Linked DNA regions of Kluyveromyces lactis. The protein of the gene in region 2 interacts with the protein of the main gene of each other region in a pairwise test. Links are inferred from orthologs where the notes say so. Each region holds a gene or a part of one and is shown on either strand. Other genes may lie near its edges. The genes, in order: RIM1 and KLLA0_F20900g.

Region 1 (15,698 bases), on a different chromosome or scaffold from region 2:
TTTAATGAATCATGGATAGCAACTTGTAAGAACCCACTTGTCATAGCACCCAAAAGCCCGCTGGATGTGAAGATAGCGGTTCTAATCGGTAGTTGGGAGGGAGTATACCAGGACCCAAGAATCAAATGGGTACCACTGAAAGTACAACTTTCAAACCAAGCTTGAAAGAAACGAATCACATAGCACTGCCATACGGAATCAATGCTGAACATTGACAATGTCAGAATACCCCAAGCAAAAGTGCAGAAACTCAACCAAATCCGAGGTTTGATTCTCAATAGAATCAAATTATGAGGGATCATACCTAACAAATATCCAACGGTGAAACACGTATTAGCGATATTGAACTGATTTGACTTGAACCCGAGATCCTCTTTCATACCGGAAACATAAGCATTGGTGAAACCGATTCTATCCACATAGTTGATCCAATATTGCAAGCAGACAAAAGAAAGAACGGTCAAATCGACCCGAAATAGCTTGCCCATGGCGTGATTACACTTTGATGTTATTCAGCTGTCCTTCTAGGACTCTTGGCGGTGTATACCAGTACCTATTTCTCTCTGAAGAGATGTCACAATCTGTTGACTCACCAACTTTAAGATGATCAAAAAACCGGAACGATATAGTACAATTTGATGACACTATTTATATACAAACAGATAATAAGTACGTATAAATACCATTCAACACTCAAACGACAGAATTCGAAGCTCTCGATCTGCAGAATCTTCAGGTTTCTTCAGAACCATCCAATAGATCGTTTATCTCTTGTTCTTGCTTGCTGTTACGAGGTTTTTTCACGTGATTGATCTTCTCAGTCAAATACTCATTGATATCGTCTTGTAATCCGGTCAATTGCATCCGCAGTTGCGAAAGCGTGGTATATTGATCGATTCCTGTCTTACTATTGACGTTATCAACCTTCTTTGGGTCACTAGGTTTATCGACGTCTTGATGCCCTTGTTTCAATACATAATCTGAAGCACCAGTAGTTCTTCCCTCCGTAGTCTGGTACCTGGGGTCAGAAGGATCGACTTCGAATTCATGAGTTGATTTGGGTCCGGTATATGTAGCGTGTGGTAAAGACATTGGTTGATCCTTGTGTTCGATACCCTTTTTTATCTTTTTAATACCTTGTTGATGAGATGAGATGATGATTTAACATTAGAAATCTTGACAATATGATAAATAAGAAATGCTATTCATCAGAACATGTCCTGTGACACAATGGGGGAAAAAAAAAGGCATACTAGTAGAAGTAAAGGCTGGGAGTGAGATTCGAGATGTCCTTGATAGAACTTATTAGATAAAAACAGTATTTATACGTAATTACTAAGAGACAGAGAGAGTATATAGAGGTAGTCAAAAAAATACTCCATGTGGAATAATACATTATTAGCAGCCGAGAGAAAACAACACGAATTGGTTAACAGATCACAGCATTCTTAAGCTTGTTGTTCTTCTTCAGTTTCAGGTGCCTTTGGGTTCTTCAACAAGTTGATATCCCTTTGAACCAAACTCAAACTTTGGCCCCTGGAACCATCTTCTCTTTCGAAAGTATAGTTAGAAGCATCAGCTTCGATGTAAACCAAAGCACCTTTCTTGACGTATTGTGTCATGAAATTGATGTGGTTAGTGTTGAAAACAGTGACATTGAACCAGTTTGTGTTGCTGTCCTTTCTTGGCTGAGAAGCAATGGAGTATTTCAAGTAACGAGTATCGTTAGCAGTAGTAAACTCTTGGTATTCGCTACCAATACGGCCGATAATGGACATCTTGGCAAAATCATTGGTGCGGGCAGTGGCCGAAAAGGCACGGCGTTGGGCTAATCTGAACATTGGGTGTTTAATTGTTTAATGATAATGATAATTTATCACTGGGCTGGGAAGTATAACTGTATTTTCACACGTATTCTTCTCATACTAATTCAGTCTTGATATTTGTTAAGGTAATTTATAAAACCGAATTATATCAAATGTCTTTATAAACAAAAATGTATATGAACGGAGAGTAAGAAATGGCACATTTACAATAAGAAAGAACATGCAGATGCGGGAAAAGAGAAACCGTGGCAATGTTTCGCATTGCAAATGGAGATTCTAGTTTCTCTTGTGACAAATTAGATATCAGAGGCGTATATTGTAATGTTTATGCTGTCATGAAACGAGTGCATTTGCTGGTATTTACGTTTATCGCGTCTTTACCAGTAAGAAACTCTTCGAGTTATCACCATTGTTATCCGGGTAATTGAAGCATGTGATAATCACGTGCCTTGTATTCTATTGTCATTACCCGGTTTTGAGTCAATGTTTCCAACATGAAATGCCCCTCGTTGGCTTTGTCTTTCCCCTGTCATCTCGTTCTTTTAAAGGCCTGGTATCTATGCCTGACTCAAATAACAAACTTGACTATCTTCGTTACAGATTGACTTGAGTGCGTTCATTCTAACCCGTGGTTTACTCTAGATATTCTGAGTACTGATATATAAACGAGTACGTTCACAGGAACAATCTCTGTGGGTCTATTACTGGTAAATTGTGGAGTGTGTGATAACGATATTATTTAACGCAGTTTAAGTTCAAGTACAAATTCAAATCAATAATATATAGACCAGAACCGGTCTTATAAAGGTTATTTGGTGGTTTAACAGGTTGAGAGCATTTCCAGATGTCATTTGGTGTTAGAAGGTTCAGCAAACGTGTGGTTCGCACCAGCGCCAGAAGTGATGATATATTATCCGAAGAAGCGTGGCTTGATTTAGATATTGGCGAGTACCATGTGGTGAATGACCCATTGGTATTGAGTTCTAGTAGCGACGACGATGAAATGGAACAGGAGGACCCCACTAGAAGGATCGAACGCTGGATGAGCACGAATGCAGTGGTACGAATGCAAACTCCCGATATTGCTTCTGTTGATGACGATTACTACCAAGATTATAGCTCTAATAGTTCGGATGCCGTTTGTCTAGTGGTGCCGTACCTTTCGGAGAAACTCTCTTGTTTGACGGAATACCAGTTGAGATGGGTTCACGATTTTGTCGCGGAAATGTTACCGCTGCTACCCAGGAAATCCGTGTCTCCTGTGTCATCTGTCTCGACATCTTCCTCATCGTCTGAGATCTCTTTTAAATCGTCCAGAAACGAAAAGTACAGATTGCCAAGGGTTATAGTCTGAGTAAAGATAACGCTTGACAATCACTGGGCCTTATAGTTCCCAGAAATAGTCATTACGTTTAACGGCAGGTCCGTTAATCTGGTTGGTGAATATCCGTATTCCACGTTAACCTGTGTCAACAGCTGTGATGCGGTAAAATCTATACGAACATGCGGTGGCCCAATTGCTTGAGATGTGACAACATCGGTTCGTTGTCCACCTTTATATCTCAAAATCAGAATCTGATCCTGTTCCAGCATGGGCAGATCCCATTGGATGGTACCATCCACTTGGTTATAAAATCCAGTAGGTTTAGATAAAATATCTTGGGCCTTGGTGCCTATCTTTATACAAACTTTCAATAGTGTATAATTGACAGGAATTAAAGGTCTTAAATTGATCATTGAGATGATCTCGGCCTCTTTGAACTGCCATACGGGTGTCACTAGAATCGGACATTGAACCTGTGGTAAATTTGTCACTGCATATTTCACTAATCCTGTAACCACGTTGTCCCATTCGCGTTCACGTTTCAATTTGTATATATTCTGAACCACATCCACTGGCTCCAGGAATGTGTCGTTAATCTTAACGGAACTAACATTATTGAATTTCATATACAAATCACTCGTTCTTTGATCCCACTTGGTACCATTGATGGCAACTTCGCCAACAAGTGATACGTTCGTTATATTATCGTCTGTGATAACACATGACAAAGTCTCTACTATATCACCATTAATCTCTGGTAATGGTGGTGACTCTGAATCTGGTCCTGATTCTCTCAATTTCAGTATATTCTCCCTCTCCTGTAACTGTAGCAGTAATTCCTTGGATCTGACAAGTTCCTGGGACACTTCAGAGAACAATTCACTATTACTATCGAATTTTGTCTCTTTGAGTTCTTCTAGCGATTGAATATAGCCCTGCACTATTTCTGCAAAAGCTAGAACATCAGACATTATAACAGAAAGACTTACTTTTTGAGACGTGCAAGGCAAACAATATAACCTATAACTATAATAGACAGCTTTAGAATAGTGAAAGTATCATGCAATGATGAACGGACGTAACATATATCTGTATCAAATGAAGATCTATTCGAGATATAACACCATTTGATCAAGAGATTGGAAAAAGCGGTACTTTCATTACCCGGACGTGGATATTGAAGCTTGTCAATTCCAAAAAAAAGTTTGGAAAGCTACCAAATGAGCTTATAACATGATTTCAATAAGGAATGTTCGAGGGGTGGATCCAGATCACCTGTTTGAACTAGCATCAAACAGCCAATTCTTCTGCTGTGTTACTCGATAAGTAGTATACTCGGATATCAGAGGCAATAAGAACCAAATACCACGGAAAAATAGCCCAAACTATGTTGAGACTAGGAATCAATCTACAGAACCGTCTTTTGGTTGGACTAAATGGACAATCTCTTTTGAAAAGAGCCGTTACACGCAATGCCGTTGCCATCAGAATGAATAGCACTAATGCTGGTAAGACAGCTTCTCATGAAATGACATGGCCAGAATTCTTCAAGCTACGTAAAAAAGAACGTGTTTTCAACACGGCTTCTTCGGTTGCGACAGCCATAGTATTCGTTAACGGTTCGTGGTTTTACTTCTCCACTTTGGAAATCGATCCAACTCAAACAATCTTTGGATTCGATCCACTAATGGCAATTACTGCTGGTATGATCACATGTGCTGCTGTTGGTTGGTTATTGGGACCAATTGTGGGTACTGCATTGTTTAAGGCCACTTCCGGTCCCAAATTATTACAGTTTCAAGAGAAGCAACTTTCATTTTTGGCCAAAATCCAAAAGAACAGAGTCAATCCTCAATCACAATCTTTCAGTAACCCTGTGCCGGATTACTACGGTGAAAAGATTAATTCGATACCACAGTACAGACAATGGCTAAGAGATTGTCATTCTTACAAAAGAAAGGCTAGTGAGTTCTTGTGAAGCGGAAAAATACCAGAAAAAGTATGATGACTATCACTCTCCCACCCAAGGAAACGCCTTTCCGTAAGTACAAGTAAATAGTAAATAATAAATAGTGGTTGATATCTAAAGAAACATTCGTTAAATCAGCATTAGCAATTGCGTAATGGTATATGCCAGAGAAACCGGAATGAAAAGGATCGATACCCAACAAAAAAAAGTATATTTGGATGCGGCGAGGTTCGAACTCGCGCCTGTTAACATTAACAGACCTGCATATTCCGGGTAACCGTGTCCGTCACTCGCAATCCACTTCTGCTCTACCCGCACCCAATAGCCGCCAAGCAATCAGTGAAGATTTTCTGGAGGACCCACAAATTTTTGATTTTCGGACCAGGCCCCTTACAACTCGCACAAAACTGCGTAGAAAACCTCTGTTTAAAGGTTTAAGGAAACGGCTATCGCAATTTTCTTGGCCCCCCCAAAGGTAAAGCAGAATGTGTCAATTGGAAAGCGACGGAGACGGTTTTGATGCCGCATTGAGTCCGCATGCTCATTTCTTGTCCCTGAAGCAGGCGCCTTAACCACTCGGCCACACACCCAGTTCTTATACTGTTAGTAGTTCAACTAAATTGGGAGTAGTTCTTCATTTCAATTTATTATATTCCAGCGCAGTGTAGCCCCTTTATTAACTGGGTTAACTGGGTTTCTTCGATAATCTACCGGTTGAATATGGGTCTATTTACCCCAGTTATATACCATAAAATGGCTCTCTGGAAGTTCTTCTTCAAGGTACCCGGCTGTTCTGTCTGTTCTTTTCATTGATGTCGCGGGTTTGATTGAGGAAAGGAACGCATAACGGATTTCCGTACAATGTGATCTTCATTTCTACTCACGTGACTTTGATTTCAATTTCTTGGAATTCGAAACTTCACTTCCGTTCGTTCTTTGCCAGGAATTCATTACCCTTTAACATGCCTACCTTATGCTTGAATACAATAGCCCAGTCATTCGATTCTTATTGCCGGCTTCTACCATCAAAAACACTAAACTTCTTTCACTCTTGATGGCTGTATGCTGTATATTAGAGGAGCTTTATGTTACTAAGAGGAGAGATTGCTGTTTAAAGACGCCGTACAAATTGCTCTTTTGATTACTTATTATCCATGATTGATACATTCCCACTGGAATCACTTCCAGACGAGCTTTTAGCTGAAGTCATTACTCATGTACCGCAGCGAGATAGATTGAACCTATGTTTGGTGAATAAACGGGTTTCAAAACTAGCACTGCCGATTTTGTATCGGAGAATTTATTTGAACGATTCGAATGTAGTAGAGAGTGATATAGTCAACCTCGCTATCAACTGGACATACTTGTACATGCCCCCAAACGAGGCAGAGTGCTGGTCTCGTGGGTTGGCTAATGCGAAACTTGATCTTCTTATACGCACTTTATCTAGGAACAGTGAAAGGTTGAATTCCATTCAATGGATACGGATTAATTGGGATTTGGATAAAGAGAAGCAGGCAGAAGTTTTAAGGTTGCTATGTACGTACTCTAAATCCATTATACGATTGGAAAACGTTACGGACCCGGATTGTAACGATATTATTGCAAATGGAATCCAATCGCGTCATAATGTCACCAGTTTCGATAGTGCCCCACCTAATTCCATGCCCGAGGGAGAAGTTTCCAGAACGTATTTGCCTAATTTAGCTCAATATTTAAAGCAACGGATTTCTTCTAACTTGTCACACATGACTCTTTTCATGGATCCCATCCAGTTGTTCAATTGCATATACCCATTGCAATTTAAATTGCAAATCCATGACTTGAAACTACATTGGAGGAAAGAATATTATCCGCCCGATCAATTGAAACCGCTGAACCAATACCCGAAGCTTACTAAACTTTCAGATGTCTTCGATGTGAGAACTTTAAAGGTGTTAACAATCATATCATGGAATGAGAATTTGAATAAACGAGAATTGGAAATTTTGACTGAATTTTACGAGTTTACAGAAATTCGGGATTTATCTCTTATATCTATGAGACAAAATCCAGCCATACTCATCGAACTTTTCAAACGTTTGAAGAATTTGAAAAGGTTGAAGACAGATTTTTTGCATGAGTTCACTCCACATCCTGTTTCAACGGATGTATTCCTGTCCATTTTATTAAATTGTAGAGAGCTACAATTCCTAGATTTGAGATTCGAAAATATCGACAGGCAGATCATTTCTATCGAGGGGTCAAGGTTCAAATTCTTACATAACTGCCATTGTGATGATTGTAATCATGTGTTTCAGGATATACTATACGGTAAATTTTTCAATTCGTCGAAAGATATGGTGATCAGAGATTTAAGCGATTTGATCGCTAAGGATATATTCACAATGATGAAATACCTCTCTTTATTACCTTATTCAAAAGCATTTGACATATACCCTTCTGTTAGGACACAACCAATGAATCTCTCGGACTTCGTCACCAAGATTAATGAATACAATAGGCACTATAAATCCATGCATAGAAACTCAACCCCGATTGAACCCATCACAGAATCTGACGTCATCAAGTGCTATCATGCAATGGTTCATCACAATAAAAAGACATATACAACTATACTCTCAAATTTGAAAAGATTACGATATTTGGTTTTGAACGACGTACCTTGTATCGTTCTCGAGAGAGAAGGTGCCCGTGTTCCTGTTCCAGTTTTCTTTAATAATGGTTACAAATCGAATATGGGAAATTGTTAAATATTGTACTTTTCTATACAAGGAACAAGAGGGAAAGTACCAAGCCCAAAAAAATTATGGAAGAATGCTGTCCATCTTGGGGAGTTCACCTACATCCATCCCATAAAAGAGGTCAAAATCTGTTGAGTCAAAGACTTGTTGCAAAAATTGAGTGACATCTATTGCATCTGCCTTGGCCGAATGCCTCTCTTCTAATTTTTCAAGAGCGTGCTGATAACTTGATGAGAAGAGATTTGGTTCGTAGTTTTTACACATCATTTCAACTTTCAAATTAACTACTTTTTCAGTGAAACTGAATCTGGCATTCCAGACTTTTATTACATCGTCGTCTGACATTTCTGCGTCTTTACTGGTTATACCCAATTTTTCTAGAACTTGATGATTCTCATGTTTTAGAATCGTCAACATATGATCTAATGAATCCTCTCTATTGATCAAATTTAAAGTTAGTTTATATTTGAACAATCTTTTGAATACATGATAATAGTATGGGAATTCATTAAAGTACGTTGTCAATATTTTATCCATTAACTGTAGGATTTTTTGTTTGCAGGGGTTACGAGCTCTTAGTATTATTGCTGGCAAGAGAACTAGGGCTTTATTCATTGATATCTCTATGATTCTACTGGAATAAGACACAGGCGCTAATGGTCTAATGAAATGCTCATTCCATAGAGTAATTAAATCTTCTAATGATGCGATAACGGCCGAGATCCCTTCGTTAATATGATTCAAGCGTCCATGGTTGATTTGTAACTTTGTCACAGCAACAATAACTTTCCATTCCCAGGTAACCATGGGGTTCTGCTCTTCAAAGTTTAACTTGTTTAATATTTCAATAGCGAGTTTATAATTCACGTGTGTAGGATCATCAACACAACATTTTAAGAATTTAAGAACTAAATGATCATTAGGGAGTTCTGGTACCCTCATTGTCCTTCCATTAAACGTGTCATTTCCATTCAACACTGCTAACTTCCTATCCCAATGTAAAGCGTTTATCCAGATATTTTTACACTCATCACTATCGACATTCGTCCATAATTGCCATGTAATTCCAAGTGATGCGCAATGGCCCATAATTAACCCCATTAATCCGTCGTTGGCATTCATACGATTGCCGTCGTTATCGTGGTAAGTACACCAGTTATGGAATCTCAAGACTAGCCATACCCTTAACTGGAGTAGAGTTGTCTTTTGGAACCATTTAGATTGTACTAACCATTTTTTAATAATATTAATATGGTCCTGAATCAACCTATTATGAGAATCGAATTCGAGGAGGAAAAAATTGATGATGAGGTACGTTAGCATTAAAAGAGTAGACTCGTGTACCTTGTCGTTCAATTTGCCCGGATGGTCTTTTTGGCGTTGAAAAAACTTTTCTAGTAGATCCTTCAACTCAATAAGATTGAATACAGGCACCAACGGATGAATCTTGTCAACGAAGTATGGATAATATTTGGACCAAAATTCGTATTCATACGGTACATATGTCTCCGGTATTGGGGCAGACCGCAATGCTGAGAACTCCCTAGCTATCTGATGGTATAGTTGATCTTCAGACTTTTCTGACCGGTTGTACATGGTTACGGTCTTTAACGAATTAGGAAGCTGCAAGACGGTGTCTCTTTCACTACGATCGATACCTTTACTGGCACTTTTCCGTAAAATATCAATGACAGCGTTTGTTATTCTTAAATATGGATCTCTGTCACATATAGCGATGTCTGAGAACAACCCATTGAACCACGAAGCTGATCTTTTGCTTAACAGATGTAGCCCTTTAGGAGCCATATTGATGAACTCCGGTAATCCAAGATCATCCATATATTCGTATCTTACTTTTTTAGAAGCATTCTCATCCGTATCCTCGGAGTAAACACACGTTTCTCCCAGCTTTAAACAGTTACTGCACGAGGGCTTTCCTCTATCACATTTCGTCTTACGACGCCTGCAATTCAAACATACAAGTGTAGGTCTATGTCTCTTCTTAACTGGTACCGGAGATAGCATTTCGTAAACCATAAGACGATTTGTGTGCAATTCACTCCCTGACTTTCGTTTTACTGCACTTGTAGTGTTTAGCGTCTGAAGGCGTGTCGGTTGATTCTGTATTACAAACGTTCAGACCGTTCCTGAAACAAAAAGTATTACCAGACCGGCGTGTATTCGATTTAATCGGCGTGTGAAAAGCAGTTTAGCAGTCTTCGCTACAATTGATATCCAATTCGAAGTTTACTTGTCCTTTCGGAGGCCATACACGAAATTGTTTCTTCATGAAAGAAGACCATTTGTGATTCCGGCAGTTTTATTTCGAGATTATACTTAATTAAGAATTTGACACCTAAAACGGATTGTCATTTAAGAAGTACTACATAATGATATTTACTGAAAATTATTCTTGCATGTTAAAGTACGTTAAGTGTACTACGTTATTCGAATCTCCCGACGCTTACATACTACCAATATCCATCTAATATACGATGACATTGATAATATTTCATTTGCTTCCTCTGTATTGAAAGTGGGCTTTGGATATCATTTCGTCATATTCGAAATTTTTCAATTTCGATGAAAAAACAAGATCCATGCATACTCGGAAACAGAGCGATGAGATGAGGTGAGATGATATGACTTAATATCACATCTAATCTGGTATATATATCTACAATTGTTGTTTCTAGCAGTTTTTCGTGATTTCTGTTTCTTTCATTTGGTACACAACCCTACGAGGAACTCCCGATGAGAATAACGCCTTGGAGATCGAGATCTGAGCTTGAACAGTTGAAGCAATGGTTGTTTGTAGATGATACTCCAGCATCGAAGAGAAGGGCCATACAACGAATTGACGCATACCTTACCAGGGGTCCATATCTCCCACATATAATAGAATATACGGTCCGTTTGATGCAATGCCAGTTGAACGACCCTGGCGAGGCGCAAGACGGCGATGATATGGAATATTTGAAATGGCAGTACTGCATGGTCTTGATTAGGTTTGTGAACGGTATGTTAGACCCAGTGCAACAGGCACAGTTTGCTATCCCATTACACACACTTGCTGAAAATATAGGGTTGCCCAGTTGGTTCGTTGAGTTACGTCATTTGAGTACACATGAAAGAGAACTGCCTAGTCTTGAGATGCTACGATTGTGTTGCAAGGAAGCGATACAATGGACGTGGGATAATTATTGGAATAATGATGAATGGGAAGAGGAAGATCAGGACTTTGATGAGGCTGAAGATGAGGATGCGACTGATGATAATGACGACTCAGAAGCCAAGAAAAGGAAATCACAGTCATCTGTTCAACTGAAATCCTTATTCACTCAGTATACTGGTCTCAAGAGATTATTGAAAGAGAATGAGTACCTATGGAAACGTCAAAGAATTGCTAGATCAACTTTTGGTGAGCAGGACTCAACCGAGGACGAAGAAGTTAGTGATTGGTTGACAGTTTTGAAAACTGCCTGGAAACAAATACACAAATCAGATTTCGTAGAGTATATGATCTTGCACTGCGACGAAACCTTGTTAGAGATATGTTTTCATTCCTTAGACACATTCCAAGTCAGGTGTATAGAGTGGCTAATAGAAAACTACGAGAAGAGGATCATGAATGAAGAGACGAAGATTACGGATCGGTTCTCAAATCATAAGAAGCTCTTGAAATTCGTAAATAAGTGTTGTTCCATGGTTAACGGCAGAAAGTTTTTGAGTAATGGATTGTTTAGTAATGTGGTAGATAAGTACCACAACTATCTCGTGTTACACATCTTAAAGAATTTGAGTAATGAAAGTGGATCTAGTGGTAATTACAGCGGTAGTAAGTCAAGAAAGAAGAAGAAAGCGAATGAGATAGACGCGAAAAAAGTTATTGAAGAATTTGAGGCAAAGGGGATCAGGAACGTTGAATTAGAGCTCTACAATTCAAGGAAAAGGACGTCTTCTGAAGAAATAGAGCCTGTTTCGGAAGATTCCCCGGCCTTGGATATATTGAAAGACTTGAATGAATTGAAAAATCAGTTCAAAAAGATCAAACAAAGCAATGCCCCCATCTCCAACTGGCAAGAAGTCACCGAGTGGACGCCTAGACCATTTGGCGTTTTGTAATTAGTATAATTAAGCCTTTTAGATACATAAGACAAAGCAAGAAAGATTGACAGTTCTACAGGTTCTGCGATGATAACAGGATTGAAAATGGAAATGGATAATAACATATAAAAAGATCAGACATCCTAGGAAGGTCTCAATAAAGAGCGGTCACTGAAGAGTACTAACGATGGGTTCGTAGGCGTACTCCTACCGTGGAAACTGCGAATGTAAAGGAACCAATTTTCATCATATAAAAAAATGTTAAAATCCATAACGCACAATCATGTTCTTAGCTAAAAAGAAGAAGTGAAACGTTTTGAAGAAATAAATGCAACAGAAGATACGACGATGGATCTTGTTTCACTGTTACTTTGACCTTAAGAAAACTAAAAAGAGAAAACTCAGATGATCTAAATTGTACATGTCAAAGCATGTACTGGCTTAAAAAGTCGTTGCCCCGTAAGACAACAACATGGTAGACTCCCATATCGTCATGGTCGATATCGGACTGGGAAAGAAGTGTAGACCGTTTTCATCATCGTTAAATGTTTTGAAGTTCTTTCGTAAGGTATGAAGTAATAATGAATCCCACGTATATGCAAACTTTTACGTTTATTTCTTCATGGAAAAGGTCTCTTTTCCAAGCGTAACATAGACGAATCAGTGTTTCACGGCTGTGAAACACTGCTCCATCAAGGATACTATAAAGCTCACTTGCCAACAGCAAGTGAGGCTAGAGAACAACCTACAGAACTTTTCAATACCTAACCTGGATAAATGGTTTGATGAGTTTAACATGTCTAGTTTGTTTCTCATTACCAGCCTTTTTATATTCTTCGTGTCGAAGAAGCATGGAAAAAATTTTTGGAATAATTGCGTCGTTCGACATGATAATACAGTAAACCAAGTACTTAGGGCATCGATGTCATACCATTCAACGGGAATCATAGTATTAGTGATCCAATAAATGTTGCTCGAAGGCTGTTCAAGTCGGACATACCATTTCTCGATGGTTTGTGATGAACTGGAACAGATTTCATGAATACGATAGTTTGTTCCACGTGTTAACCACGTGCATTTTCCCGGGTAACGTCTAAAAAGAAAGAAAAGTCTTTCCCAAGATGAAAAAATTCGGTTTAAGCTCATCTCATCTCATTGCAGATTCAAATAGACACACAGAGGCAGATAAGTGAGGTTCTGTGTGGTCCTAGGGTTCCAATTACAGTTTAACTAGTTCAGGTGAGTTTTTGTTACACCCTTCCCTGTAATATTATTCCACTCGCAAAACGTTATAAGAAATATCTCAAACAATGGCCAAGGTCGACAAAACTCTTTCAAAGGAATACATCAGTGATAGCGACAGCGATAATGATGGATCATCAGAAACTGTAACGGACGTTTTCGTTCCACCTGAAAACTATAAGAAATGTACACATTTGAAATCATTCGTGAAGCCTAAGAACTTGAAGCAAAAAGAACTTTGGCTTATCAAACTTCCTAAATCTTTAGATGTCTCTAAGCTTTCGAAATTACCTATTGATTTCACAGCGGAGTCGGAAACTGGCATCGAACAAAAAGGTAAACATTTCTCTGTGAAGGAGGAAATCCAACAAGAAAATTCCACTTCTGGTGCATCTTCTTCTTCTGAATTGACATTATTGACTCCTGTAGATAAGACAAAGTTGACCGTCGATTCATCTGCATCAAGATCATTTGATAAGATCTTTACCATAAGCGAAACTGCAAAGATTCCAAGCATTGATTATTCTAAGGTAAGAGTGGATAGAAAGGATGTGTTGAAGGTTAAGGGTCTCAAGACTAGACATTTCGCAACTGGGTATTACGAGGATAAAGATTTGAAGAAAGTTAGCAAAAAAAAGAGAAAGCACGACTAGAGCACTCGTTCTGGTCTTTCTGTATATTATTTATATATAACGCACTGGTCATATTTTAATTTGGGTTATATGTAGAATACGTTCATTATAAAAAGTAGGTATCTTCATACCCTATCGGAATAATCTCTCAATATACCAGCCATATGTGTATTGGTAACTTTACCCTTTCTTGATCTACGTTTCTTGACCTCTTTCCTTGTGGTTTGCTCATTCTTGATCGTAGCAGGATCCACACTAGCAGGCTTGAGACCCAAATCTTGTAGTTTTCTTGGTAATTCACTACGCTGAGGTAGCTTACAAGCTTCCCACATCGTAACGAACTCTTCATCGATTTGCCTTGATGGACCAGCATGGTTATACCAGACAAACCTTGGAGAATTATCCTTCTTTGTCCGAAGAACAAGGATTCTGTTCTTTGCTTCTAACTCGTCGATTGTATCAAAACATTGTGGCCAACCATCTTTTAACTCTTTACATGATATACCCTTGAACGTCGCCTGTGATCTTAATAGTTGTAGCAATTCCTCCGCAGAATGCACATCGTAAATGGATACGTACTGTAAAGTGTTCCTCTTTGGGTCAAACTTGAATTTTTGTAACCCCTTTAACATCGGAATCACATTATTATCCTTAGGTAACGAAAGATATGATTCGATTTGATCTACCGGTACTGCTTCCCCTCTTTCTTGGATATATTCTGTGGCTATAAGCATCTTCGTGGAAAGATGTGTACTATCCAACTGGCCCGTTGGAGCGACGCTACTACTCTTGGCCCTTTTCTTCAGAGGCATATCCTTCTCATCGGAATTTGGATCATCCACTTCTATCACTTCCGTAGATTTACCGTTCCCATTCGTTTGTCCATCTCTATCTTTATTAGCTAAAACTTTCCTTGTAGTGAGCGCTGGAGAAGTCTTCACCTTGTTCTTGAACGCATTTAAATTGGCCAGTAAATCGTTGCTCATATTACCCACACCTTCTGATACTGTTCAAACCACTTGTCGCCACACAGTTTTATATATCTTTAGTGAAAGTTAGTAATACGTTTGATTCATTGCAACCTTCTTTTATATTTCAAAGCTTCCAATTTTTCAAAAGCTTTTCATGCTTCAAACGTATAAAAAGGTTTTCGAAAAAAAATTTGACCTAAGAGAACAACTTCTCACTTTACGATAAGCTGACCGTTTAACTTTGTGTTATTCTGGTCGTTTTATTCTTTCATAATATACCAAGGGCGCTGTGGAACCTCGGATTGGTTTGAGTAGTCAAGATGTGATGGCTTTAGCTGGACTCGTTTCCTTCTAGTTTTTCACCATTGCATCTGGAAAATATAATTGAATTGACGTTCACTATTCTTCATACTGATTCTTCTGGTCTGCAGCGTCTATCATAATTGATTCTTTATGAAAGATAAAACATTTTAAGCCAACTTTAAAACCATCGCTGTTAGAGGTTTCTTCTGCGAATTCATTCGCGGTCAAGAGATCCATGAAATAGTGATGACCTGAGGAATGGCACATCTCTATTCAAATAGGAAAAAGTAGTCACGGCAATAGAAATCTTGTGAAGCGATATAATGTATGTTTATTGAGGTATCCGTATACCGATTAAACAAATGCTAATGAAATTTATATAAACTGGAAATGAAATGATACTAAATCAACCGTAGACTTAGTTGAGATTCTTCGGTGTAAGTCTTTCTCACCGAGCATAGGATCCTCCTGCAGGAATCATAGAAGAAATCGTCGAGTCCAGCGATATTGAGACAATCTTCCAACGTTTCTTCCATGTATTTGAGGAATTTATACTCATTAATATTGATGGAATGCTCTG
Region 2 (16,098 bases):
TACCCCTGAAAAGATCAATTTCTTTCTCACCGACACCCTGGGACTGGGTGAAAACTTAAATAATGGGATCTGTTTCGATGAGATTGCTTCATATTTGGAGCAACAATTTGATTCGGTACTCGCTGAGGAGACCAGAATCAAGAGAAATCCAAGGTTCCAGGATACAAGAGTTCATGTCGCGTTATACTTTATTGAACCCACGGGACATGGGTTACGTGAATTGGATGTTGAAATTATGAAGAGACTATCCCGCTACACAAATGTTCTACCAATTGTCGCTAGAGCAGATTCGTTCACACCTGATGAATTGACTAGGTTCAAGAAGAGAATTATGGAAGACATTGATAGATTTAACGTTCCTATCTACAAATTCGAAGTTGACGAAAATGAGGATGATCTAGAAACAATTGAAGAGAACAAGGCATTAGCGAGACTTCAGCCGTTTGCTATTATCTGCGCCGACCAACGCGATAATGCTACCGGTAAATACTATCGTGAGTATCCATGGGGTAAAATTGACATCGATAATGAAAACATTTCGGACTTGAAATTGTTGAAAAGGGTTCTCTTCGGGTCCCATTTGCAAGAGTTTAAGGACACGACACAAAATCTGTTGTATGAAAACTACCGTGCTGAGAAATTGGCGTCTGTGCCAGCCTGGGACATTGAAAACAACGAAGTTATAGATACTTCTATCAATGACGAAAACAATGAGGGTAATTCTTCAGGGTTGATGAAAGGGTTGACTAGAAACAGTACAGCTCCATCCTTGTCAAATTTCGCCTCTCTAATAAATACAGGAAAGTTTAAGTCTCAACAATCACTTGCAATTCCACCTCAATCTGAAACCCCATCTACACCACGTCTAACCGGGGTAGATGAAGGAGATGAGTCTCGCGCTTCAATCTCTGCCAGTTCACAGAAATCTACTCCTGCCAATATTCAAACTTCTCCAGAAAGAACAAAGTTACGGAATATTTCCGAAAATATCCCATACATGCTTCAGCACGAGCGCATAGTAGCAAGGAAACAAAAGCTTGAAGAATTGGAGGCACAATCTGCCAAAGAGTTACAAAAGAGAATTCAAGAACTTGAAAGAAAGGCTATTGAATTGAAGATGAAGGAAAAGCTACTAAGACAAAACTCACATAGTCAATCTCAAGAATCTATCCAGACTAATACAACTAAACAAAATTCAACTTCTGGAGGTGCTTACATTAAGAAAGAGGAAACCTATAACGATTTAGCTTCGATAATCAGCAAAAAAGAATGAATTCAGTCTTGATATCTTTCTTTGGCATTTTTGTAAGTCGAAGTGTTTGGTTCCTGAAACGATTTCATATGTAATTTAAACAATATTGATTATTTTGTATATTGCAAACGGTCACGTCTAGATTGATCTGCTACCTGTTTCCAAATTTGATGAGTTTAAGATGGTGATGTAAAAATCAGAAAAATATACGTACTGTTACAGGTATATATATATATATAATATAATAATGAGTTAAGGTATTTTCGTGCCACTTATCAATAAATGGAATTTATCTGTTCAGATGACATAGTATTATGAGATAAAAAAGATTGGTGAAAAATTTATGTTCATCCAGTGCTTCAAGATAAAAAATAGCTAGTGTAACTGGAGAGAACTAAGAAAACCGAAAAATGCAAAATAATGTTCCCGATGGCAATTAAAAACATCAAGAAACAACATTCATTCAGCGACGATGAGAAAAGGCACTGGGGGAAATAATAGGAAAAGAGATTTAACCGAATTGAAAAATGGTTGCAAAATAACATTAAAGAGTTGGAAACAAGACATAATTGATCAATAAAGACTTCAAGTGCGAACATAAGTCATTTTAACAACGCAAAAAAGGGTTATGACGACGTAAATATGAAGTGTAAGAAAAAGGCAATGGGAAGATGATCTTTTTATAATATTTTTCATTTGGAGAATGCATTTTCGTAGGAGTAATTGGTAGTAGATGACTTTAGATCATTAGTGACTCCATTTGCAAGAGTGGCAATGCTACTATTGTTACTACCAGTGCTTCCATTATTATTGTTGCTTGAACTTGGATTGCCGCTGATAGTTTTACCATTTTGAGCATTATTTGAGTTGCTAGTTGGTTGGCCAGAACCACTGCTTCCACTCCTTCTGCTGTTTGGACCACGAACACCAAGTGGGTTTTTAGAGAAACTCAATCTAATTCCACCTTTGGTGTTGTGTGCGCCAACTGGTCTTGGTAATTGACTACCATATAATTCGGCTAGAGCTCTTGTAGCATGTGCGACGTCTTCAAACTCAACAAAGCACATAGGACCATGCCCACTGTTATTGTTGTTCTTGTTTCTGAATGATAACCTCTTGAATCCTTTTTGACCTCCAAATAGTTGTCGTAGTTCTTGTTCGGTGGCATCTGGAGGTAGGTTACCCACATAAAGTGTATTGCAAGGTGGATTTTGATCGGCTGGATTGGCTGGAGGAGGAACTCTTGCTAACAACGATAAGTCCACCTGAGAAATTCCAGGAGTATTCTGTAAAACACTTGCCACACTTCTGGTGATAGGTTGTGACTGAGTAGAGTTGTTAGCGTTAACATTAGTTGCAGATGAAGAATTACTAATGTTGGTTCTGCTGCCAGATTTATGAGGAGTATGCGACGTTGATGAAGTTGGTGTTACAGGTTTAGAAGACACAGAAGCTGAGGACCTACCGTTCATCTGTTGGGCGACACCGACCTGTGAAGATGGATCAGAGTTTGGCGGTAAATTTGTCGCACTTGAATTGGCCTGTTGAGGGCCAGAGAAAACGGAACTGCTTTGCTTTCTAGCAGCACCATTCTTGGATGCAGACCAATCTACAACTGCATTTTGTTGTTGTTGATTGTACGTGGTATTTACCATGTTGTTCACAGTAGAGAGTGAAGGGTTTGATCCCCAAATTGTGTCATTAATGCCATCTCCTTCCATTAACAAGAATGATTTACCAGCATCGATGTTTTGCAGTGGAGTTTGAGCAGACGTTTGTGCAGGTGGAATATGTGGATTTTCTGCGCTGAAGGGATCAGAAAATGAGAATCTAGACCGTTGTCCTAGCAGACTGGGCCTTTTCCGACTTGATGATTGGGGAGGCGATGTCAACGTTGGAGCAACGTTTGAGGATACGCTTCCGGATGATGGTATTTGAAATGAGTTTGTGTTCAGTTGTGGCTGCAACTGAGGTGAGTTTGTCTGGAAAAACAGCTGTTGATTAGTTAATTCGTCGATGACCTCCACCGCCACCTTGAATGGATATGCTGGACCGAATATTTGGGATTTGATATTAAGAATAGAGGCATATTGGCATGCCAAATGCTGAGATTCAAATTTTGCCACCACGTACGGTTGGTTATCTTCATGAGGTATCACATCAATGGATAGTACACCATGAGCCAATGAGAAAAGGGCATAAGCCTCCCTCAAGTTTATGTCGGTAGGAATATTGCGCAATATCAATAGATAACTACCAATGGATGGGGTTTGTGGTTGATTTCCAGTGTTAATGGATAATGTGTTCAGTACCGATGAGAGGTTTAGTGGTGAACCACTGTGGTCCGAGTGGTGGCGAGGTATTGTCGAACCATTTGCATGTGTTGGCGATGCGTTGCTGGGATTAACTGCTGATAACTGTTCAGAGCTAGTACTGAATCCACGATGCAGCTGATAAGTTGTATCGAAGGAAGGATGGATCATCATGGGGTTTTCGTTGATGTTATTGGAGTTTGGATTTGAGTTGATATTGCTTATTGGCATATGAATGATGGCCTCGTCGTAAGAATGATCAATGTGTGGAAATGTGCACTAAAGTAACACTAATGCCAAAAAAAGACGATAAATGAGATGAAGAGCGAAGATTCACTTTTTGTCAAACGCTCAAGAAACTCAATTAAATAGCAGAACAGAATAATCACCAAAGAAAACAATGTTTTGCTTTCGACAAAATGCTGAATAATTGTTGAACTGTGTGGTGTCTCTCTATCGACTGGAGTTCTTCTCTAAGGTTAGAATATTGGTGGATGAGTTCACTGTTTTTTTAACCAATCACAAAAGGATGGGAAGCAGAAAATAGAAGAATAAACTGCTATTCTCCAGGTACGTGAACGAGTGAAGTACGCAACTCCTATCTCACTGTTACAAAATACAATTGATAATGTTCTGAAACAGGACTGTACTCCTATGATTCACAAGAAGAATGAGACTTTTTTCCTTCTTTTCCCTCTTCTCTTTTGTTTCTTGAAAGTTTTATGTAACCCTTTTGTTCTTTAGGAAGTAATTAATTTTTTTTTATCAAAAAAAAAATTCCTTTAAAAGATATCGATCGAGATGGGTTATTTCCAAGAAAATAGTATGTTTCCAAAAACCAAAAAAAACAAAGATGAATTTTAAGAAAAGGAAACGAAATGATAAAATAGGTATAACAAAGAAAACAGAAATGAAATCTTACGCTCAATGAGTTTTTTGGACTTAGGCCTCTAGAATTGATTGATCTTGGTCAATTAATGGCCTTTCGTTTCTTCCTGTTACACTGTCGCCAAAAAATCCTTGTAAAGACAGTTTTCTGTCGGAACACGCTATTTCGTAATGCTGTTATTTTTCCTGTTTTTCTCTAATTCAGCGACTTTAGTGCCCTGTAAGTCGATGCTCTGAATTGGTGTCTCTGTCACTCTGCTCGAGTTTGCTCGTGTCGGTGATAGTAAGTATACGGAAATATAAACAACAAATAACTGATGAGCTTCAACGGTGACCGGTGTTTGCAGCTATGTTTGTGTAAGCAGCAAGTGTGAAAGTTGATTTCACTAAGTTCTTTCGTTCTTTTTTCCTTTTTTTTTCCTTTTTCTCGTTTTCCCTTTCCAACTTTTTAGACAATCATTTTTTTTTAAATTCATTTGTCTCACGATGCTGGTAATTCATTAAGTATTTTGATAACCATTAAGATAATGAAAGTGGGAAGAGATGCGGGTAAAGTAGAAAATGATCTTCGTGAGTAACACTTTAGCTCAGTCGTTTCTCCTCTGTGCTTGCCAAAATCTTTTTTGCGCGATCCCTTTGGTCGCTGCGCTTTCTACCTGTTTGACCAAAACTATATATTTTATCCAACTACGATTCTCTTGGGCGGGACTTATATTCTCTACGAATGCCAAAGCGACTGATTAATTTAGTTTAGTTACTTTTTTAATGAGATTGTCTGTATTGTGTCGCTGTTGAAGCACATGCACGTCGGTTTACTCGTGGAACGCGTAACTAGTCAGTGTGATAATTACAGACAAAAATGGGGGAAAGCACTCACCACGATGATTCACACGTGATAGTATACTTCAATACTTTAAGGTTGTCGTTTTTGACTGTTATTATTTTCAAACATTTCAATACGTGGCAAAAATATGGAGGGGAGGAAGGAGAACAAGTAGCTATACTACATCCGTAAATACATTCTTAGAAAGCTTGGCTGAACCGAAAGATATATTCAAGACAAGCGTCCCGATGATTCGATTCTTTGCGGAAATAAGACTCTTGGCCGTCTCGAATTTTGTAGTCATTGTCTTATAAGCTCTCTCAAGATGTACGAGTACGGAATCCTTTTAGTCGCATTGCACAGCCTAAGAAAGTTCGGTTGCCATATTGTGAAAAAGTCCGTTTCAAACATGAAACCGGGGGGAGGGTTCTGCAGAGTCTAATTCGTTTCTCGCCACAGTGGCCGTTGGAACCCTTGATGATTTAGGTAGGGTAATGATTCGTATTGTGTGATTACATCGCGTGATCTGCGGTATTGAATTCCCGTCCATAACGAAGTGGATTGGCGTAATAATGAGAAGCAGGACCGCAGTCAAGGATGGAATGAATTTCGGCTATAGAGAACTCCCCGTCAATAAGAAGTTAGTTGAAAGTTCAAATGAAGAGGAACAAAAGAGTTGTGTAGGCTCTTTTTATTTCATCTCAGTGTTTCTGCCAATTCTCTAATCTCTTTTAGATTCTCTCTCGGGTAGTGGTCTTTTTTTTCTGGTTTATCTAAGCAGCATTGTGGTATGTAACTCCATCTGCCATTTGTGTTACATGCTTCAATTTCCCTCGAACTAGTTAGATCCTGACAGAATTTCAAAGCTTCGGAGATTTTTGCATCAACTTTCGCACGATTATCGCATACTTCGAAGAGACCAATCTTGTCTTTCTTGCTTTCCGCTGTAGACTCCGGTATCGTTATTGGAGAGTAATTAATTTGATATCCATTGTCAACGCTACTATAAGATGTAAAACTTGACATCCTGCTTGGTCTCCGTGACATTGGAGAGACAAGACTATCTTTCCTTACGCCCTTATTAGTCAAACTGGCATGCATTACGCTACCGTTATGCTCTGTTGGTGTCTCAAACATTGCGTTTAACTGCATGTCACAAATACTGCTTCGAGGAGACTTAATTGCATCTTTGAAAACAAACGCCGAGTCTAGTGTTTCCCTTGACGAAATATCTTTGTTGAAATGTAGCTCTCGCCAAATTATGTTTTCATCTGAGGCAGATGCTTCAACTTTAGTTTCGATTGGAAGTATGGTCTTTGGTTTATCTTTTTTGGGGGAGTTTGACAACTTTTTATTTTTAGCCGCTGAAGTCGCCTTTTCCTTAAAGTTCTCCTCTTTCACCTCTATTGAAGCTTTGATTCCTGCTTTAATCTTACTTGTCCTTTTTTTTGCCATTGTAACCTTCTTCTCGCCGTTTAGAAATATAGGTATATGCTGTTCATGTCAAGAATGTGCTCCTCCCTGTTGTTTGTAGCTTCTTGACGTTGTATTTTCATTTCTTGTTCATTTTATATGAAACAATATAAAAAATTGTGATATTCCATTGTAAAGAAATGAAACATCAAATCAAAGGAACGTGTAGATAGCGTATTCTCCGTTATTCAATACGGCTTGGAACTTTTGATATGACGAATTAGAAAACTGTGATATCATATTATTATTGAGAAAGCTATACATAAAATATGTCGACAAAAAAATGACTGTACAGGATGAGTTAATTGCTAATGCTGAATACTGATAGGTTGCAGTTTTATCGCAAATTAGTAAGAACTAACTTATAGAGTCAGCATCAATCGCCGAACTGAAAACTGATGAACCTGATGTGATTACGACCAAAGAGAGTGATAATTGTTGTGGAGAAAAGCTGGAGGGAAATAATTCCTGCATTAAAAATTGTAAAAAAGTAGGTGTTTTATTAAGGCTCATTCATAAAGATAGCAACGCATTCTACGTCATTACCAGTGAGGAGATCTCAATGTAAGGTTGATTTGATAGTGTTTGAGATCTTGTTGACAACGTTTCCATTCTCGTCAGTGGTGTGAGTCTCCTTTTGTTGCACAGATCTTGGAACACCACTTTTGGTATCGTATTGATATCCTTCTTCATGTTGCGATAAACCATGCGACTTTGCTTCGGAAGTGGGACGATCTGTGTTTCCTTGTTCATCAACTGACACATTTCTTGTATGTCTATTGTTGTCTGAGGATGTGTATGCATTCTCCGTGGAGTAAGTGTTCTTATCGGGATCTACCAAGCTTTTCGAATTTCCACCGTATTCAGAGGAAAAAGTGCCTGGAATCTGGTTATCATGACTGTCACCAACATTACCGGATTTTTTCTTAAGGTCTTCTGCTGTTAGAGCAGCACCCATCGTAGGCGGGATAGAATTCTTCTCAGCAAGTGCTGGAATACCTTTCGATTTCACGGTCCCTTTAATCTCACCATTATTAGATTTGTTGGATGCTCCTCCTCTGGTATCAGAAATATGAGTATTCCCCATGTCCTGCTCCAAACCATACTCATTCTGAGGATCTGAACCAGTTTTTTGGGATTGCGAAGAAGTTTTACGCAAACCGACAGCACCCATCACAGAACTCCAAAGACCTGAGTCAGCAGTGTTTTCATCATGTGCAGCATTTCCGTCGTGCTTCACGTTAGGATCTAAGGTATGAGAAGTTCCTTCATAAGCCCTACTAGAAACGTAATTGTTGTCAACGTAAGTTCCCTGCATGTCTTGGGAAGTGTGTTTTTGAGCATTTTTATGAGAGCTATCGCCAGTGATTGGTTTTTCGTTTTTCTTCTCGAACACATTGGTGTCAAATTGGTTAGGATTAACGTACTGTGATGTGTTATGGAATTGATTTTGTTGGCCGGAAGACCCGCCGTAAGAGCCATCGTTTTGACTATCAGTAGCATCGATAGCAGAGAACTTCTGCTCTTTAGTCGTGTTACTACCAGTATTCCTTGAAATTCCAGTGTCGGTTGCTACAGCATTGGAGCTTTGCTTCAACGCATAGTCATTACCAACCAATGGTTCACTTGTCGCATCATTTATTCCCTTGGAAGGCATTGATTTTTGAGGGACAGATCTATTGTACTGCGTTTCAGAGGTAGCAGACTTTAGGGTATGCTTGGCAGTCGATTGTTGCGATTCACTTGAATGAGTGTTCGCAGGTACTGAAGCTGCCGCAACCCTAGTTCTAGCATCTTTGGCCTCCTTATCCTTGAAGTTACCGTAATCATACTTGTCTTGAACATTATCACGATGAGTTTGAGATTGTGATTGGTGTTTGGACACGTGTTCTTTCCCCAAATCAGAATCATTGACTGTGTGCTTAGTTGGAGAATTTGACTCCTCTTGTTGCTTCTTAGATTTGTCAGAGTCGGACTTTCCACCTAGACCTAAGGTAGCCATTATAGCATGTTTGTTGAAAGAACTCTTTCTTCTGTGCTTCCCGGAGTCTTCACTTTGAGGGCGAGTATCTCTGTCATAAATGTCTGTCTTCTCGGTATCTTTAGCGGCATATTTGCTAGAACCGGCTAACTCTTGGCCATTCCCCGATTTCAATGGTTCGCCAATATTTTTAGTAGTTGCATAGCTCTTGCTATCGTTGGTATGAACTGGCGTATCCGAGGAACCAACATTAACATATTCTTGTTGTTGAGCGTTTCTGCCAGGATGGTGCGAGGATAAGGGCTCATTACCTCCAAGTACCGACCCATGATGCCCATTCGAGTCGTTCAAGTTTCTGGCATGAGATGGTGCTTTGACCCCAGGTGGATGATCATCGAATGTGCCTTCATTGCCATAAGATGGATAGCTCAGACCGTAATTTTTCTTATCACTGTCACTTGGGAAACTTTCATTGTAGTTTTGGCCAATGTTGGTTCCAGGCTCTGCTTGGTTTCTAGATGTTTGCCAGTGATTATCATGAGGGTAAGCTTGGGTCCCAGAGGTAGTTGTGGTTTGTTGGTGAGAATTGTTCAAGTTCCCTTGATTAGCTGATGAAGACTGGTAATCCTTTCTGGAAGGATCGTTGGATTCCTCTTCATGACCTTCGAGATTTTTAACCTTGTTAACAATGTTGTTGTAGACGCTAATTAAAAGAAAATTGGAAATAATTATTAATATGTGTTAGTATTGGTTTCAGATGGGTATCAAACGGGAGAAAAAATGTTGTTTTCTAGTGAATGGCGTTTTTTTATTGAGATTCGAGTCGTTATGTTTAATTAATTTTGATTTGACTACTTTTGACTACAATTAAACAGCAACGGTGTCTTTCTTCTTGTAGCGAAGTTTCCACCATTTGATATTTTGACGGTTGTTGTCATTGACACCGCTTTCATATGTGTGCTTGTCGACGTTGTAACTATCATCATGAGAGCTAGTACCCTCATACGGTTGATAAGTGTTTGCTCCTTTGACTTTCTGAACACCAATTGTGACACTCAAAATTATTGACCAGAACGAACTTAATAATAATAAGAACACTGAGGTCCATAAAAATGCGAACATCTTGGTGTTCATCGATGCTGAACGACCGGCATCACGGAAAGTGTTACGACCTTTCACGTAACAAGCTGTGTACAAACAGGCTGCCAATGTGATGAAAAATAAAGCCAGCCAAATAGAAACAGTAGACAATACCGCACCGACACCAACCTTGAAAAAGGATAGCAACACAGGAATCAATGCGAGTACCACGAAGAATAAACCAATCAACAACATTGCCCAACCAACACGACTTAAATAATAGTAGGTATTACGATTATCTCTAAATGATGCTGGAAGATCAGGACTGTTTCCAAAATTGTCTCTAGGGGAAAATGGTAAGTCCGCTTGTTTGCCTGAACAACTTCCGATTTCACCATTCTCATAAGCACACCAATGGTAATTGAACCATCTTGTAGTATCTGGAGCACCAGGTAACCCACTGGTGTCAGCCTCAAACCAATAGAATTTGTCCAATACACCAGTAGTCCTAGCACCAGACAATATAACAAAAAACGTCAACAAACCAGAACCCAATAAGAAAAGCAACGATAACGAAGAAACGAACCCTTTGAACTTCATGATATTATTAAAAATTAGTATTATATGGTTATTATTTTAGCTTTGATTATGGAGAAGAAGAACAAACTGAGAGAAACAAAATCACACCAAAACAATTAACAGAATTAAAAAATCCTTTCATCCAAAATTAGCTCAAAAGGTAAAAGGTTACAACTCAACTTGGACGGTCAACTCTTTAATCTTGATGTCTTTTTATAACAAAGTCAACCCCTTAAATTAATATCGGTAGATTTAAATTGTATACCTTATTCTTTAACGGAAGCAAAAACAAGACGCCGAAAAGAGCAAACATAAATGCCTACTGCCACACACCCTTTAGAAACCCTTTTTGCCCTACTTTGAGCGGTCATTCAGAGCAATAAAGTTTCTTCTGCAGGATGTTTCTCTTCAAATGCTTACCTCCCCTAATTATTTAGGTACTGAGTTTCTTCTCTGTTTTCTTTTCGACTGTCGGCATTTTCCTTTTTCCAAAGTTTGCTCCGGAGAATAAGTGTCAAATGGCTTATATAATCCATGTCGAGAAAGGCAGTGATAGCAAACACTCAGTAGAGATATCCTGCACGAGACAGTGAGTGGCAACTGGAGGCATTTGGATGAGAGACTTGTCGAGAATTAGAAACCGCAGTCAATATTCACAGTTCAATAGTGTGCCCATTCGTTACAGGAAACAAAATGGACACTTGAAGCCTTTTTTTTGATTATTCTGTCAGTTGTTCTCCGTTGGATAATAATTGCCTTGCTCAAAACGCCATTTCTATTTCTCAGACCTCTTGCATTTGGACGTTGAATACTCTGAATTGTATGATTATCTCCGAAGGATAACAAAACGTATCCTTGCTTAGCGATTTATGATTATATAATCACTAATGTTCCTTCGGCTAGAAATCATGTATATTTATGGCATTCGAATCCAACTCTGTGGTTTCCCGATCTTAGAGGTGTTATAACGTATTCCCTCAGCTTCGAGAAGACACTAAATGGCCATGCATATGTTACGATTTTCTTGTTGCACGTTTCCTTAGAGAATTTCGTTGGCCAAAGCTTGAATTACATCACTTATGATTAATAGAGAGTTATTTGGTCAAACGCACTCAGAAGTGATATTAAAAAATGAAGTATCCTTCTTATCTGATTATCAGCATTATGTGTGAGTTGGTTACTTTCTAAATTATTACGCATAATTATACGAGTATTCTATTTTATATTAAAAAATTATACAAATGCTACCTCCGCTAGCGACGCCAGTATAATGACGGTGACAAGCTTTCTTCATGTAATGAAATCAACTTCAAAATACGCCTAGTTCTTAATCAATATCGGAGAGGTTTTCGTATTTGAGTGTGTCGTTATCATACTCCAATCTGCTGTGAATCAGTAAGCTCTCCAATGTTGCATAAATAGGACACCATATTTTGATGTATAAATACTCATTGACGCGCAGAACTCTAGGTATCAATGTGAAGTCCACAATAGAACCGATGCAGGCGGTCAGTTCTTCCCTCTTATAACTATAATTTGGATTCCCGAAGAAAAGTGTCAAGTTCTGTCTCCCCCAGATTTGCACCTTAAGAAGTTCTTCGAAAGGGTTTTCAATTGTACATTGAGTACCGACCATGCCACTACGAGTAAGGTATATAGTCACATTGTTACCATTGTCGAAAATACTTAAAATTTTAGCAGTAACTTTGATGTCTTTGTGATCCATTTGCACGTTATTCTTAATATCAATAATGTCAACAGTTTTAGGATTTCGGGTACCAAATAGCTCAATGGGACGAGTAGCAGCGTCTTCTTCTATTTTGTCAACACCTTCCCTCTTCAATTGGTTCTCAAGCTTGGCAATTGAATCGTCTTTTGGGTCTTCTGAGGAACCGGCAGAGTCATAGAAAGCTTGTTCCTGTAGCAGTTGCGGATTCTCAGACATTCTATTCTTGGATATTGGCAAGAAGCGACTCATGGTTAACGTGTACAGTTGTATGACCTCTGATGGCATCCGTTTAAATATTTTATTTCTTAGAGGCTTCAATAACTTGTATTCCTCAGTGGTAACTGGCGTGGTAGGAGTAATGGGATCGGCGTCAAGTATAACAGTGTTTAGCTTACCTTGAAATAATTGACATTTAACAGTGAATTTGAATATGATACTTCGATGGGTAATATTACTGTTGCCTTTATCTGCACATTCCATTAAACCCATCTTGATTATTGATTGGAGTTTTTCGTTTAATGATTCCACCCGATTTAGATATATCAATGCATGAACGTGCTCATTCTCTGGTATTCTTTCCTGGAAACTACCCAAAAAGGAATCGTACCCATAGTTGACTTTGGGGTTAGCCGTAAAATCTGTAAAAGACAGAACTAGCGTTTTACCTCCTGTATATTTCACGGTGACCGCAAGTCCAATAACTGTGTAGTACCTCGAACTCGCTGAAGGAACAATGTTGGAGACACGTACTAGTGGAAACTTGTTCTCTGTGAAGGTGACTTCCTTTGGAGTAGGAAGAGCAGATCTGAGGACCACGTCCTTGAGAGCCCATTTACTTGATTTTGCTGCTCCAATAGTAAATTCCTTCTTGTAAATGGTTATGTCGTATCGATTATTGTCTATCAGTTCCTTCAATTCAAGCAGCGAGTTCTTTATTGAGTGTGGGTAGGAACGAACCCCGATCTTACTGAAAAATTTAGCAACGTTGGTGATGGCTATCTCGTAACAATTGTACTCCGGTACAAAAACTGCTGAAAGGAGAGGTAGTTCATATGTATAAACATAAATTAGAAGAAAATCATCTTCTATAAGCGAAGATTCAGGATCAAGATATTGATTCGGTATAAATCCGAGAATTTTACCATCAGAGATATGATAGAGCCTATCAGTTATTGCTTTGGAGATCGAGTCAGGTTTTAAATCAAACGGATCAGACCCTTCTTCTTGTATTGTTCGTGGTTGCTCAAACTGAGACTGAGATGAGATAATAGGATCATATGGTAATTGATATGAAGAAATATCCAGGTCCTGCCTGGTTACTTGCCGATGATGGGTCAAGGCGCCCAGATCTGTAAGTTTAATTTTTTTTACAGTCCCACTTGAAATAAAATCAGAAGTTGACATACCTTTGTTGCTCCCTATTGGCCTCTTTTGTTCTTTTGCGCTTTGTATTATGGAATCATTGCAAGGATTCTGTTCTAAAGAACTGAATTGAGGCGTATCACTTTCGATGGCAGTTTTAGTGGATTCTTTCGCGACTTGATCTGCTTCTCCATCAGGATTGGAACTAATTGATTGAAGAGGTAATGTATCTATATTATGCTGTTGGGTTTGGGAATCAAATTCATTGAAACTGTCGTTATTCACCTCTCTTTGTAAACCCAACTGGAACAACGGATTCACGATAGCTGTATTTTCTTTCGGAAGTAACCTGGTGGGGGGTGCTTCTTGTAGAACCAAAGAATCGAGGTACGACTGCATTTCAGTACAGTAACTAGTCAGGCTCTTGAATTGAAAATCAGCGTTTCGTTTTTCTCTTTTCAATAGGTTTCTAAACAGCTTTTCGATCGAAGGCTTGAGTAGCTTATATTCATCTGCAGTGGATTGGTCAAAGTAGGATTTTAAATCCAAAAGTTTCAGTTCATGAATCTGTAGAGATGCTTTATCATAAGCAGTGATAAACAACCCTTTCACGCTTATCATTCCCATGTAGCGCTTCTCTAATTCTTCTAACACGAAATCAGATGAATAGTCCAAACCGGCTATTTGCATGCCCAACTTCTCGAATAACGAAGAAAGAACCATTCGGAGTAATACATCGCATTCAAAGCTTTTATTTTTTATCTTCCCACAGTAAGTGTTCAATCCAGCTTTACCATTGGTGAAGTTATCGAAATGGAACAGGCATTTATCGTTTTTAGTATATGCTACTTTACTGAGAATTGATATAAAGTGCACGGGCTTCGATACAATTGATCCATGCTGATAGTATTTGTTCAAGCATTCAGGACCAGGAATATACTCATATGGGTACTTTTCCATGGTGCTCGCACTCCATTACCTTTTCCTTTCTTTAACTGAAGTTGTTTCTAACGTTTTTCTTCAACCTTCAATGCACCGTTTAATTCATTGGATGCGCTCATAAAAATCATATCTCAACATGGAATTAATATAGAGATGGTTCCCAGATAAAACAGCGCCAACGGCTGCGAGCAACCACAAGAGAGCCAAAGCACCGAATTGAAATGGCAATAGGTGAAAGGAAAAGTATGATAATTGAATGTTTATCGAAAATTTAACAATACATTATTTACTAACATTTAGCCAAATGATATAATCAACTGTAGGGAATTTTAGATCAAGAAAGAAAGGGTTCGCAGAGCCTAAAGTTCTAGTGACGCAGGACGAGTGGTACAACGAAGCAGTAAAGATCGAAGATGGCGCAGAACGTTGGTTTCTTTCCGATATAAAGAAGACTATGAAGGGATATCTGGAGGCAATGCGAGCTTATGATAGAGCCTTGATTTCTGAGAAACCTAATAACGATGACACATACAATATCCATTATAACCAAACTAGACTGTTGCTTAAAATCTATACTGATTATGTGAACGTCGATGGTTATATCAACCTGCTTCAATATGTTAATTTAGATGGAATTGATTCCGTAGAAACCTTACTGGTGACCATTGACGCTATTATCAAAAGGTTTGAAACTGTTGTAGAGAGTTTCCCAGAGGAAGTTGGATGGGATTTGCTATTCAACCTATTAATATCGTATTCTACCTATGTGGAATCTCAGACTAATATCCCAGGCGAGACTCTAATCAACATTGTAACAGGGTTCATTTCGCATTTCCATCACATCATGAGATTAGAGAATGAGCTATTGGAGAGTGTAGATATGGCAAATTTGAACGAACAGGAAGAGGAGGACGATGTTAGTTCTTATCGACCAGATAATTTAGCTGAACAATCTCAAGTAGATCTTCGCACCGGTACTGGCATCAAGACCAGAGGTGCTGAGAACGAGGATTACGGGTTGGCCCTATCTACTGAAACTTTTGACAAGGAAACTGTCGTTGACACTGTTACTCTAGGCTACAAATTTGTATATGAGATAATGGCAAATCAGCTTGAATCCGAGAATACTGCTCCCGGTAAGATAATCAATGTTGCACAGAAGAACTACTTGGAAGAATTGTTGGTAAAGTTCATCAACCAATTGGATGATATGGTAGTAACTCTAAAAATAGGCCAATCTGACGTCCAGGAATTAGTGATAGCGAAAAGGTCAATTGAAAGTCTGAAACTTTTGTATCAAGGAGATCTTCACATGTTTCTAGATACCTTGGGAACGACTGATGAAGATTCGATGATGAGCAATGTTGAGCTTTTAGATATGGCAATAAATACTTTCTCCACTGAGAACAGTTGGCAAATTCGAACGTATCTATCAAGGACATTGGGTAAATTACAAACGATACTTGCCGAAAGACAATCCAACATTATTAGTGGTAAAACCAAGAACAAAGACAACGAGTTAAGCCCAATCGTTTTCAGTTTATGCGATGTCATGATCAACAGAGCGGATAATGAGCTTTCCAGGTGTCTACTAAAGCAAACGGAATTGAACCAGCTGCAGGGACAATCGCACCCGGAAGAGGATATTGTTAAGACCATCGAATTATTACAACAGAA

Evidence for each region.
Region 1: the proteins of KLLA0_F20900g (region 2) and RIM1 interact in a protein complementation assay, tested with the Saccharomyces cerevisiae proteins (2 studies listed by BioGRID). The link is inferred for Kluyveromyces lactis from reciprocal best matches to the Saccharomyces cerevisiae genes FMP45 and RIM1.

Annotation. Positions count from the first base shown.
Region 1 is NC_006037.1:551,570-567,267, reverse strand, and holds RIM1 (Rim1p), read right to left. Parts: upstream 1,842-15,698; coding exon 1,449-1,841; downstream 1-1,448. Other genes in the region: FEN2 (Fen2p), read right to left, coding at 1-488; chromatin DNA-binding EKC/KEOPS complex subunit GON7, read right to left, coding at 733-1,092; KLLA0_A06127g (uncharacterized protein), read left to right, coding at 2,671-3,180; SYP1 (Syp1p), read right to left, coding at 3,201-4,121; PAM17 (Pam17p), read left to right, coding at 4,538-5,128; SCF ubiquitin ligase complex subunit DAS1, read left to right, coding at 6,274-7,872; OAF3 (Oaf3p), read right to left, coding at 7,927-9,900; rRNA-processing protein LAS1, read left to right, coding at 10,618-11,988; DNA-directed RNA polymerase I subunit RPA34, read left to right, coding at 13,281-13,865; transcription factor TFIIE subunit TFA2, read right to left, coding at 13,970-14,830; and 1 more. UniProt on the Saccharomyces cerevisiae protein: This protein binds preferentially and cooperatively to single-stranded DNA (ssDNS). Involved in mitochondrial DNA replication. Stimulates PIF1 helicase activity.
Region 2 is NC_006042.1:1,940,072-1,956,169, forward strand, and holds KLLA0_F20900g (SUR7/PalI family protein), read right to left. Parts: upstream 10,410-16,098; coding exon 9,597-10,409; downstream 1-9,596. Other genes in the region: septin SHS1, read left to right, coding at 1-1,273; KLLA0_F20834g (uncharacterized protein), read right to left, coding at 1,945-3,795; KLLA0_F20856g (uncharacterized protein), read right to left, coding at 5,972-6,730; KLLA0_F20878g (uncharacterized protein), read right to left, coding at 7,308-8,750; telomere-binding protein CDC13, read right to left, coding at 11,716-14,439; KLLA0_F20944g (uncharacterized protein), read left to right, coding at 14,876-16,098. UniProt on the Saccharomyces cerevisiae protein: Involved in sporulation and affects the sphingolipid composition of the plasma membrane.